Neodiprion lecontei: one gene and its partner. The protein of the gene in region 1 interacts with the protein of each later gene in a biochemical or structural test. Links are inferred from orthologs where the notes say so. Each region holds a gene or a part of one and is shown in the gene's direction. Other genes may lie near its edges.

Region 1 (5,017 bases):
GTTTTTATCCGCCCTTGGTTTTTTTTTTATTATCTTTGCTGAAACTTGGTTCAATAGTTAAAAAACTTTTGAACATACGTCATGCTTATGAAAACTGGTGAGACAATTTGAGTGATCGATGTGATATGAATTACCTGCATGGGGTTGAAATTTATGTCAGAAATATAATAAAAAGTCTGATCCTTCGTTGACTTCTTCACGACATGGAAAAACCGCTTTGAACGCTTCCAAAAGAATGTTGAAAAATATTTAATTTCGTCTGCAATGTACGAAACATTGATCCGAATCCATTCTGGAATTTAGTGAAAACATCTGTAATCTTATGTATCTCAGGATACCCGAGATTCGTCGTGAGTTTCTATCGAAGCTGGAATTTTTGAAGGAATTCTCAAAGTTGTTTTCCCCGGGAAATTTGGAATTGACATATGTCACTCACTCATCTTTCAACATTCCTTCGGAAATTATTGTGAAACTCTTAGCTAATTACCTTTGAAAGTCGTTTGCTTAATAAAATAATTAATAATACAACTATACTATTCAAAACACGATAAAAAATTTTACTGCATTTTTAGGTACTGTTCGAAAATTTGCAATAATCTCAAAAACTTTCCGAGAGCACAGTTAATTCCACATTCTTAAAATTTTTATCAATAAAGTGAATAAAGTCTTGACGCAACGTAATTGTAGTAACGTTGCGAAGAAGGAACTTGTTGCCTTATATAAGGGGGTCGTCTAGTGCGAAGACTATTTTTTATAGGTTTTTGGGTATTTTTCTGAAACAAACCATTGAAATAAAATTTATCATAATTTTCATATCATATTTATTGACATTTCTACGAACTTTGTGATTTTTTTGGAGACGAAATATTGAATACAACCTGTTGTTGAACTAGGATAATTATGATTGCTTTGGTAATTTTTGTTTTACGAGCTAAACAAATGGAAAAAAAATTTAAGTTACAAATTTTTAAATATTTTAATTATTTCACAGAGATTTTCAAAGAATCGCAGAATTTTTTTCGCACTAATAGAACAATTATAGTTTATCTACATGAATCTAAGAGTTTGTATCAACTCCTCTGAAATTTTCTATTTCTTGAAGCAGATCTATTTGCTCATATGATATAAAAGATTACATGAATAAAACTTGATATATTTCTGGATTGTAATATTTTTGCTTTGAATATCGTAACAAGGAGAATTCTAACCGGATTTATGAAAGACACAAATGACAGAACCGACGTGTCTAATATTTAGACGTAATAGTTGTTCAGTCAATTCCACGATTTGCTCTTACGTTTTTCTAGAATTTCAAAACATATTCCTGTAAGCGGTTTTGCCTGCACTGTTTCTAAGATAAAGTTTTCATCCAGGGGTATTTTCAAGTCTTATGTAAGAAAGAATGCAAAGCTTTTTCACAACTGCGTGTTATTTTTCGTACACTGCTTATTTAATGTTAATTGGAAATCGTGAACAAATAACACAGGTCAACAAAATGTAAATTTTTGTTTTGGATTCATATTCAAATGAATAAATTTTGATTCTATAGATCGAATAATAACTAAAATCTTTATTTATTACTTATAAAGTTTGTTTTTATCTTTTTTACGTTGATAAATAACTTAATGTTTTCGATTGACAATATATGCAGCAGGTAGTAGCGCGTTGAAATAAAAAACAAAATTTATCTCGTAAAACTATATTGTGATAATAGTTTCCAGTTACGTGGAAAAAATCAAAATTTGACATCTAGAACCTGGACTAAAAAATTGGTGTTGATCGGTGTAATCAGTCAGATTCCACATTTCGGATACAATTTGAACGGCGTTGGTTACCGCTAAAATTCGGACAAACGAAAGTCGGGCGAGAGTCAAGTATCGGTCGAGACAATCCCGACGTCTCGATTCGCCAAGACTCAGCGACTGTCAGCTGTTGTCAAGCGTTCGAAATTGCCATTCAAGTGTTCAAGTTATTCAAGGTTTATCTGCAGACGGAGTATGATGGCCGGCGTCGCACGGTGAAATTCGAGGTGAAGTTAAATTACGTCGCGATTCGGTTTAACCAGCGAGTGATTTTCCGGGTTTTCGGTGTTATCATATCCGCGAAATCTGAGCCGTCGATCTCTCACAAGCCCGAGTCTATTTTCGATGCAAAAAAGGTGAATAATATAGGTTGATCGAACCTAACCTCGACAGATTTGAACCTTCGTACAAGTGTCAGTCCCGTTTTCGTGTGCTCCTAAATCGGATATTCGATATTTCGGCAAGAAAACAAGTGTCAGAGTGAGGAAAAAGTGTTTTGGAATGAACGAAGCGTGAATCGGCCAACATCTTCGCGTCAAAGTTGCCGCTTCTAACCTCACAGTTCGCGATGATTTTCTCGCAACGTGCTCGCGCCCCGAGTGACGATTTTTATTATTTTAGCTATACAACGGTAGCTACGAATAACAACAGGAACTCTACTTTGATATTTTGATCGAACAGTAGCCGGGTAATTCACCGCTTGTGTTCCGTAGCTTTCTAACCTAAGCCTGATCTAATTTTAAATCTCCCAATCCTTTACCCAATTAAATTAATTCCAGACCCAACCTAACCTTAGTTGGCCTACGTTAATCAAAACCTAGGGTCACAAATTATAGTATAAAAATGAGGCTCGTCAGTTCTGAGAAGCTTTCCATGCTGCAGCGCGACCCTGACAATGTCCGCAACATCTGCATCCTGGCACATGTCGACCACGGCAAAACAACGCTGGCTGACTCTCTTGTAGCAAGTAATGGAATAATATCTGGTAAGCTTGCCGGCAAACTGCGATACCTTGACAGCAGAACGGACGAGCAGCAACGCGGCATAACTATGAAGTCGAGCTCTATCGCTCTCTACCACACTCAAAACGGACGTGAGTTCATTGTTAATTTAATAGACTCCCCCGGTCATGTAGATTTCGCCTCTGAAGTATCGACTGCGGTGAGGCTCTGCGACGGGGCGATAGTGGTGGTCGACGTGATCGAGGGCGTCTGTCCGCAGACCCGCAGTGCCCTTTCGATAGCCTACATCGAAGGGTTGAAGCCCATTCTAGTCTTTAACAAGATAGACAGGTTGATAACGGAAGTGAAATTGACACCTCTAGATGCCTACGTTCACTTGATGCAGGTATTGGAGCAGGTGAACGCGGTCATGGGTGAACTGTTTGCAAGCGATGTGATGGAGCGAGAGGAAAAGGAGGAGGCTGCCAGCAGTGAGAGCCGTAACCTGAACGAGAGAGACCTGGCTGATTGGCAGTCAGCATTAGAGGAGGCGGACGATTCTAATTTGTACTTTTCACCGGAACGTGGAAATGTTTTATTTGCCAGTGCCGTTGACCGCTGGGGATTTGGTCTAAAGGAGTTTGCCAAAATGTTTTCTGAGAAGCTGGGATTCAGTAAGAACGTACTGCTCAAGACACTGTGGGGGGATTTTTACATAAACAGTAAGACCAAGCGGATAATGAAGGGTGCTCAAGAGAAAGCTAAGAAGCCGCTTTTCGTTCAACTCATCCTAGAGAATATTTGGGCACTGTATGACACCGTCGTCGTCCGCAAAGACAAGGACAAAATAACATCCATGGTCGATAAGCTCCAAATAAAACTCACCACTCGGGACCTTAGGCACACCGACTCCAAGGCTCAGCTACAGGCGATTTGTTCGCAGTGGCTACCACTGGCGGAAGCCTGCCTCGATATCACCTGCGCTAATGTTCCCTCACCCAAGAATCTCACTAACGAAAAGATTGAACGGCTCATGAGTGGGAATACCGATTTCTCTGCGCTTCCGCAGGAGACGCAGTTGCTGAAGGATGCTTTCCTGGCTTGCGACAGCTCGCCGAACGCGCCTGTAATAGTGTTTATATCGAAAATGTTTCCAGTGGACAGAAAAACCCTGCCTGAAAACAAGTCCAAGCCTCTGACGCAGGAGGAGCTCGCTCAGAGGCGGGAAATCGCCAGACAGCGACACGCCGCTCAACTGGAGCAGCAAAAGTCAGGAATCACTGCGGTAACGGAAAAGACAGAGGCTTTGGACTTGGACAACATTCAAAAGCCAGTGGAGGAAATATCTGAAGATGCTTTGGTTGCTTTTGCCAGAGTTTATTCAGGAACGCTGAGTGAAGGTAGCGAGGTTTTCGTCCTTGGGCCGAAACACAACCCTGCATTGGCTCTGGAGCGCCTCAAGAGTGGAGAGGAAGTCGACGAGAGCGCGGTGTTGAAAGACCTCAAGCCTGGCCGGCATGCGACCAAGGCAAAGATTGAGCGGCTGTACCTCTTGATGGGACGAGAATTGGAGCCATTGGAGAGCGTGACAGCCGGTAACGTGGTGGGAATCGGAAATTTGGAGGACCATGTCCTGAAAACGGCAACTCTGTCCTCCACGATAGCTTGTCCCTCTTTTGCTGAGCTGACGTCATTGACGGATCCGATTCTGAGGGTGGCACTGGAGCCGAAGCACCCGAATGACCTCCAGAAGCTGATGAAGGGCCTGAAGCTGCTAAACCAAGCAGATGCCTGCGCTATTGTCCACATTCAGGAGACCGGTGAGATAGTTTTAAACACAGCGGGCGAAGTCCACCTTGAAAGATGTCTCGAGGATCTTAAACTGCGCTATGCCAAGGTCGAGGTGAACGTTTCGGAGCCGATAGTTCCGCTTAGGGAGACCGTTGTCCCTCCGCCCAAGGTCGACATGACCAACGAGGTGATAGAAAAGAAAGAGCAGGAGTGCAGTCTCGAGTCTTGGACCGCTAACAGGCAATGCAGCTTCGAAATTGACGCGAGGCCACTTCCGGATGAGGTGACTAAGACGTTGGAGAAATACGTCGATCTCATCAAACTGCTGGATCGGCATGTCGAGAGGCTTGGCAAGGAGGTCGAGGATGTTAACACGTCTACCGAATCCTTGGTTCTTCCAGAACGAACCCAGAAAGCCGTCGATTCTTTCAAGGCTGAGCTGAAACTCGCATTTCAAGAGGGTGAAGAGGAACTGGACCTCAG
Region 2 (5,226 bases), on another chromosome or scaffold:
CTGGAATGGTAACATTTTTTTTTTTTTTTTTCATACCTATTCCGGTGACGGGGGATAAAAAAAAACGCCCCAATCTTGTAAATTCCATCTCTCGGATACAGCGTATCGTTGAGGGTCCTATAGGGTATCAGTTTCTTCGCTTTTTAACGAAGAATCACGTGGGCCAAAATAATTTTTGGTCAAGTTCCAATAGGATGATCAAAAATTTGTTATTAGTCGAGTTGAAAACATAAGCTGTTCTCTTGCGGTGGGAAATTTAAATTCGCGTGGGGTGTTTTTTCGCCCCCCTTTGCCGCTCCAGGGTTAAATTGAAATTCGTAACTTTGATGTAACGATGTATTTTGTGGAAAAACCGTTGAATTTTCCGAACTACCTGAAATTCAGACGAAGTATCGTACGTGATTGATAAACATGTCGGCCGCGAAACTGGCAAAAAATGTATTTTGAAAAATATTGAATTTCCAGTGGATATTCTTCTTCCTAAATACGTATGAATTATGAATGGCGCAGATCTTGACCGAGTCTTTTTCTCTTGTTTACATTCAATGAAAATATACGACGATGCTCGACGTTGACTTAACAATACCCAGCTGATAAATGAATCAAATGGACAAATAGCGTACTAAAATCGGTCATCAGCCACAGTGCGACGAGGCGACACGCGCCTGGACTTGGAACCTATACTTACATATATGCGCATAGAGAAGTTTTAAATGCATGCGAACAGCTGATAGCAATACAGAGAGAGAGGGGGGAGGGAGAGAGAGAGTGAGAAAGAGAGAGTATAGTAGAGAGAGCTAGAGAATGAGAGATAGACGGAGGAAACGGAGTAAACTCTTGAGATATATCGCCATAAAAGGCAAACGTTCGAACTCGTATCTGACAATGCGTAAAGAGATTGATATATCGCGGGTGTTTCGTGTAGATAGAGAACCCTTGAGATATATTTTAACTCGTACGATGATTACAGTGATTGTCAAATGCAAAAGTAAAATCTTCCTGCAAGTATTGGTTTTGTAGTCAAAGGCTTGCACCGAGCACGCTTTGTTTGATTTCGAACAGTGGTAAATGAGAAAAAATTTCATCGCGGTGATTAATGCTAAAGTTGGTACAAAAGGGAGATAAAAAAAAAAACAGATGCGGCCCGCGGCTGCACCGAGCCACGGTTATCTCAACACTGGCGAACACCGGACCGCGTATCTCTCTGTCTACTATTGGCACAAAATGCAAAACTCACCGAACTCTGAGGCGAGCTGGTAACGCTGGGAGAACGCTGCACGGTGACCAAAGCCATCCTATTTTGCCTCCAGAGTCACCGTCGATGCACGCTCTAACTAAACACTCGCGGGCCTAGAGCCGTATCTTCAAATCTTCACGTAAACGTGCATATTTCTAAACGTCAGTCAGCATCACGCTCGCGGTCGCCATGTTCAATACACCTCTTTGCAGAATAATATCACAACTGCGCATGCGTCGGTTGTCGTTTGCGCGCGCAACTCGAATTCACTGCTGATCCGACTGATTTTACGACGCGACAGATTTGCCAACCACGCGGTAGCTGCTCGATGATTTATTGCAATTTATTGCGTATCTCATGGAAATCAGCTTTTTTGATTATCCTAAAATACCAGTAACCGACACATAATTTACTGATGAATATGTTTTCGATATTTTATAGACGGTAGAGAAAACGTTACGAAAGTAAATTTTTCCATAAAATTTGAAAATTTCTGAATTCGCAGGCTTTATGATCAATGTTTATGACTACTAAATTTCCGAGAACAATTTCATTCTATAAAAATCTTATCAGTCTACACATTTACGCATTTACATAATTTTCCGGATTTTTGAAGTTAGTGCTTCGATTTGAATGAGAGATGAAATACGTCAATTTCCCACGCGAGATTCGATGTTTTAAGAATCTAGAGTTGGCACCACTGACGAATCTGCGGCAGTTGAACCTGTAAAAACATTCAAGTCGTTCAAGTAACATTGTGGATGCTGCGATGCGCCCTTGTCAACTAGACCTACGTCCAGTTTATATTTTAATCATTTTACAAGTAATTAAGTGCCTAGAAGTACGAAGATAAGCTGATGAAAATTTTCATCGTGAGATAAAGAATAATTTGTAATTTCGACGGCAGTAAATTGTTACCGGACTTTGCAAAAATGTCGTTAATTTTCACACCAACTAACCAGATCAGGTTAACGAACGTCGCAGTAGTGCGTATGAAAAAAGCAGGAAAGAGGTTCGAGATCGCCTGTTACAGGAACAAGGTTGTATCCTGGAGAACAAATCTGTGAGTTTTACAATTTGTCAACTGTAGCCATATTACGCAATTTTGTTGCACACCGATTGAGTGTTATTGCAAGTTCGCACGACATAACCTAGCTGTAGTATTTCATTTGTTGACTCGGATGAGCCTCGATTCTGACTTCATTAATTGTGGTACTCGTCAATATATATATATATATATATATATTTATACTTTTGAGAGGCAAAATTGTACATTTATCAACCTGTTTACAATTCTACATGCATACATTATCACTGGTCACATCAGAATACTGGTTTATGTTAGTTGTGCATTGATTAAAATATTCTATTTTGGTACGCTTCTTAATCTTTTCATGGTCAGCTCCAGTTCTTCGTTGCTACTACGCAAAGAGAAAAAATTAGAGCTTAAGGCGTGAACGTTGTCACACCTCAATAGTGGGCTTTTCTCTTGGAATATTTTTCTGTGTTGTTTCCGTTCATTGCAAAAAAAACTACACCACGGATAAGCTCACTGCATATGAAATAGTCCCTAGAGTCATTTGGGCTAATATAGCATGTGCTGACATGCACTCTAATCGTGAAATTGGCCACGGAATATTTTCAAGAGAACCTGTGAAATTTTTCCATGAGGTTCCTTGCGATTACCTTTCAGTTGTGGCATGGGAGGTGTGGCTTAAAACACAATCGCAAAGAGCCTCATGAAAAAAATCTGTGGGTTCACTTGCAAATATCCTTTGAACAACTTCATTGTTTCAGCACAAGGCGGCATTGCTATGAGTCGAACTGATTCTTGAGATCTTTGCATATGCGCTGGTGCATTTACGGAAAGAAGTTGTGTCACACATTAAGCCCTTAAGGTTCTAGGCAATGGAGCAAGAGACGCGTGTGGTGTTCGAACGGCAAATAGTCCGCGTGTGAATACCACGAATACTTTGCATCAGGCTCTAGTTTTTTCTCCAGCTTGATTTTGCACTGTATTAAATTGTACAATTCAAATTGAAAACCAATTATATCTTTGATAATATTAATTATATTAAATTGAGAACATTTGTCACAGAGAGAAGGACATAGATGAAGTATTGCAGACACATACCGTGTTTACAAACGTTTCCAAAGGTCAGGTGTCAAAGAGGGAAGATCTCTTGAAAGCGTTTGGTAAGGATGACCAGACAGAAATATGCAAGGAAATCCTTACTAAGGGAGAGCTACAGGTTTCTGACAAGGAAAGACAATCGGCTCTGGATTCTATGTTCAAGGATATAGCAACAACAGTATCCGACAAATGTGTCAACCCAGAAACTAAGCGCCCGTATCCAATATCGATGATTGAAAAAGCTATGAAAGATGTTCATTTTTCTGTAAAACCTAATCGCAACGCCAAACAGCAGGCTTTGGATGTCATTCCGCAATTGAAGGCTGTCATGCCCTTGGAAAGAGCACAAATGCGTTTGAGAGTTCTGATATCAGGTAAAGAAGCTCGCAAACTGAGAGAGAAGATTTCCAAACAAGCAACTAAGATTGAAAATGAAAGTTGGGAGGGAGGCAGTTTGAACTTAGTTTGCCTAATCGACCCAGGTCAATACAGAGAAATAGATGAAATGGTAAGATCAGAAACAAAAGGAACAGGTATACTGGAACTGATTAACCTAAAGGAAATCACTGAGGGAGATGAAATCCTGGAATGAATGGTTGCGAGGTGTAATCTGGAACGTTCCTACAAATATTAACAAACATGTAACGCACTGATTCACTAAAAATGCATCGTAAACAAATAGCTACCGTGATCTTTTGCATTTGAATAAAGAAATAAGATGAGATGAGTCAACATTTACTACTCTGGTTGAAAGGCAGCTACTGATAATTTGTCAAACGGTCCTGTAAATACAAATCACAGCATGATATTCTTACACAGCGATGCAGAATTTGTTTACAAAATAGTTGAAAACATCGTGCGACTTATGACAGAGAAAAGTATTTCGTTTTGTTAAGATATTTGAAATATATATTCGCAAATTTCTGCTCGTTGGTCAATGCTACCATATATTGTTTGTAATACATATTAGTAACTGTTTAACGATTAATAGTGTGAACTACTTACTCCCAGTAACTCGATTATTTATGTAGTATCACCTTGTACTGAATAAAATTACTTTTTTCCAATCTATTGTGCTTGTCAATCGAATAAAATAACCAAACAGACAGTGTCACGAATTCAAAATGAATAACTCAACGAGATTATAATCGGTACATACTATTTACAAGTTTATTTTTCAATACGTTATCTAATTATTACAGCAACGACTGTGCTGATAAATTATCAACATTAATAACAATGATTTATAAAACATCTGTAAATCCTACATATCTTAGTGAAATCATATTTAGCATCAGATACATTAACTGTTACTTGATGGTTACTGTTGAGCTGCGTTTAAAAATTTGAAATAATCTTGGCACGAATGAAATGCATCAAACAATTTATACAATTCTGAATACTCTTAGAACTATCTTCGTGCGTGTATATTAATTCTAGTTCAACATTACTGTGTCATGTTAACAACGACTAATCGGAGATTGATATTTTTCATAGTTCAACAGTCTGGCTACTGAACCTGTTCCCATACCCGACACTTAAATTATCAGTACAATCTCAGAATTTTCATAATATTTTCCTAGTCATAGTGTACGATATTAACGTAAATGCTTCTGTGTATAAATACTGTGGTCAAATAATAATGGCAAATGACGAAAGGGTCGTAGGAGAAAATTCTAATTCAAGATTTCATTAAATTAAAATCACGTGTGTGGGAACATGTTGAAAAAGTCACAAATACACTATTGCTTCTCTTCGCTGACTTCAGCGCGTGGTATATAAATGTTTTCAGTGCGTTCATCACACTTTGCCGCTATACGTGATATGGTCAAGAGAAAATCTGACAATCTGTTAA

The links.
Region 2: the proteins of elongation factor-like GTPase 1 (region 1) and ribosome maturation protein SBDS interact in a biophysical measurement, tested with the Homo sapiens proteins (2 studies listed by BioGRID and IntAct, with this or other methods). The link is inferred for Neodiprion lecontei from reciprocal best matches to the Homo sapiens genes EFL1 and SBDS.

The regions. Positions count from the first base shown.
Region 1 is NC_060263.1:17,903,500-17,908,516, forward strand, and holds the start of elongation factor-like GTPase 1, read left to right. Parts: upstream 1-1,983; 5' UTR 1,984-2,645; coding exon 2,646-5,017. UniProt on the Homo sapiens protein: GTPase involved in the biogenesis of the 60S ribosomal subunit and translational activation of ribosomes.
Region 2 is NC_060264.1:9,155,166-9,160,391, forward strand, and holds ribosome maturation protein SBDS, read left to right. Parts: upstream 1-1,961; 5' UTR 1,962-2,169; coding exon 2,170-2,300; intron 2,301-3,335; coding exon 3,336-3,963; 3' UTR 3,964-4,438; downstream 4,439-5,226. Other genes in the region: corrinoid adenosyltransferase, read right to left, coding at 5,114-5,226. UniProt on the Homo sapiens protein: Required for the assembly of mature ribosomes and ribosome biogenesis.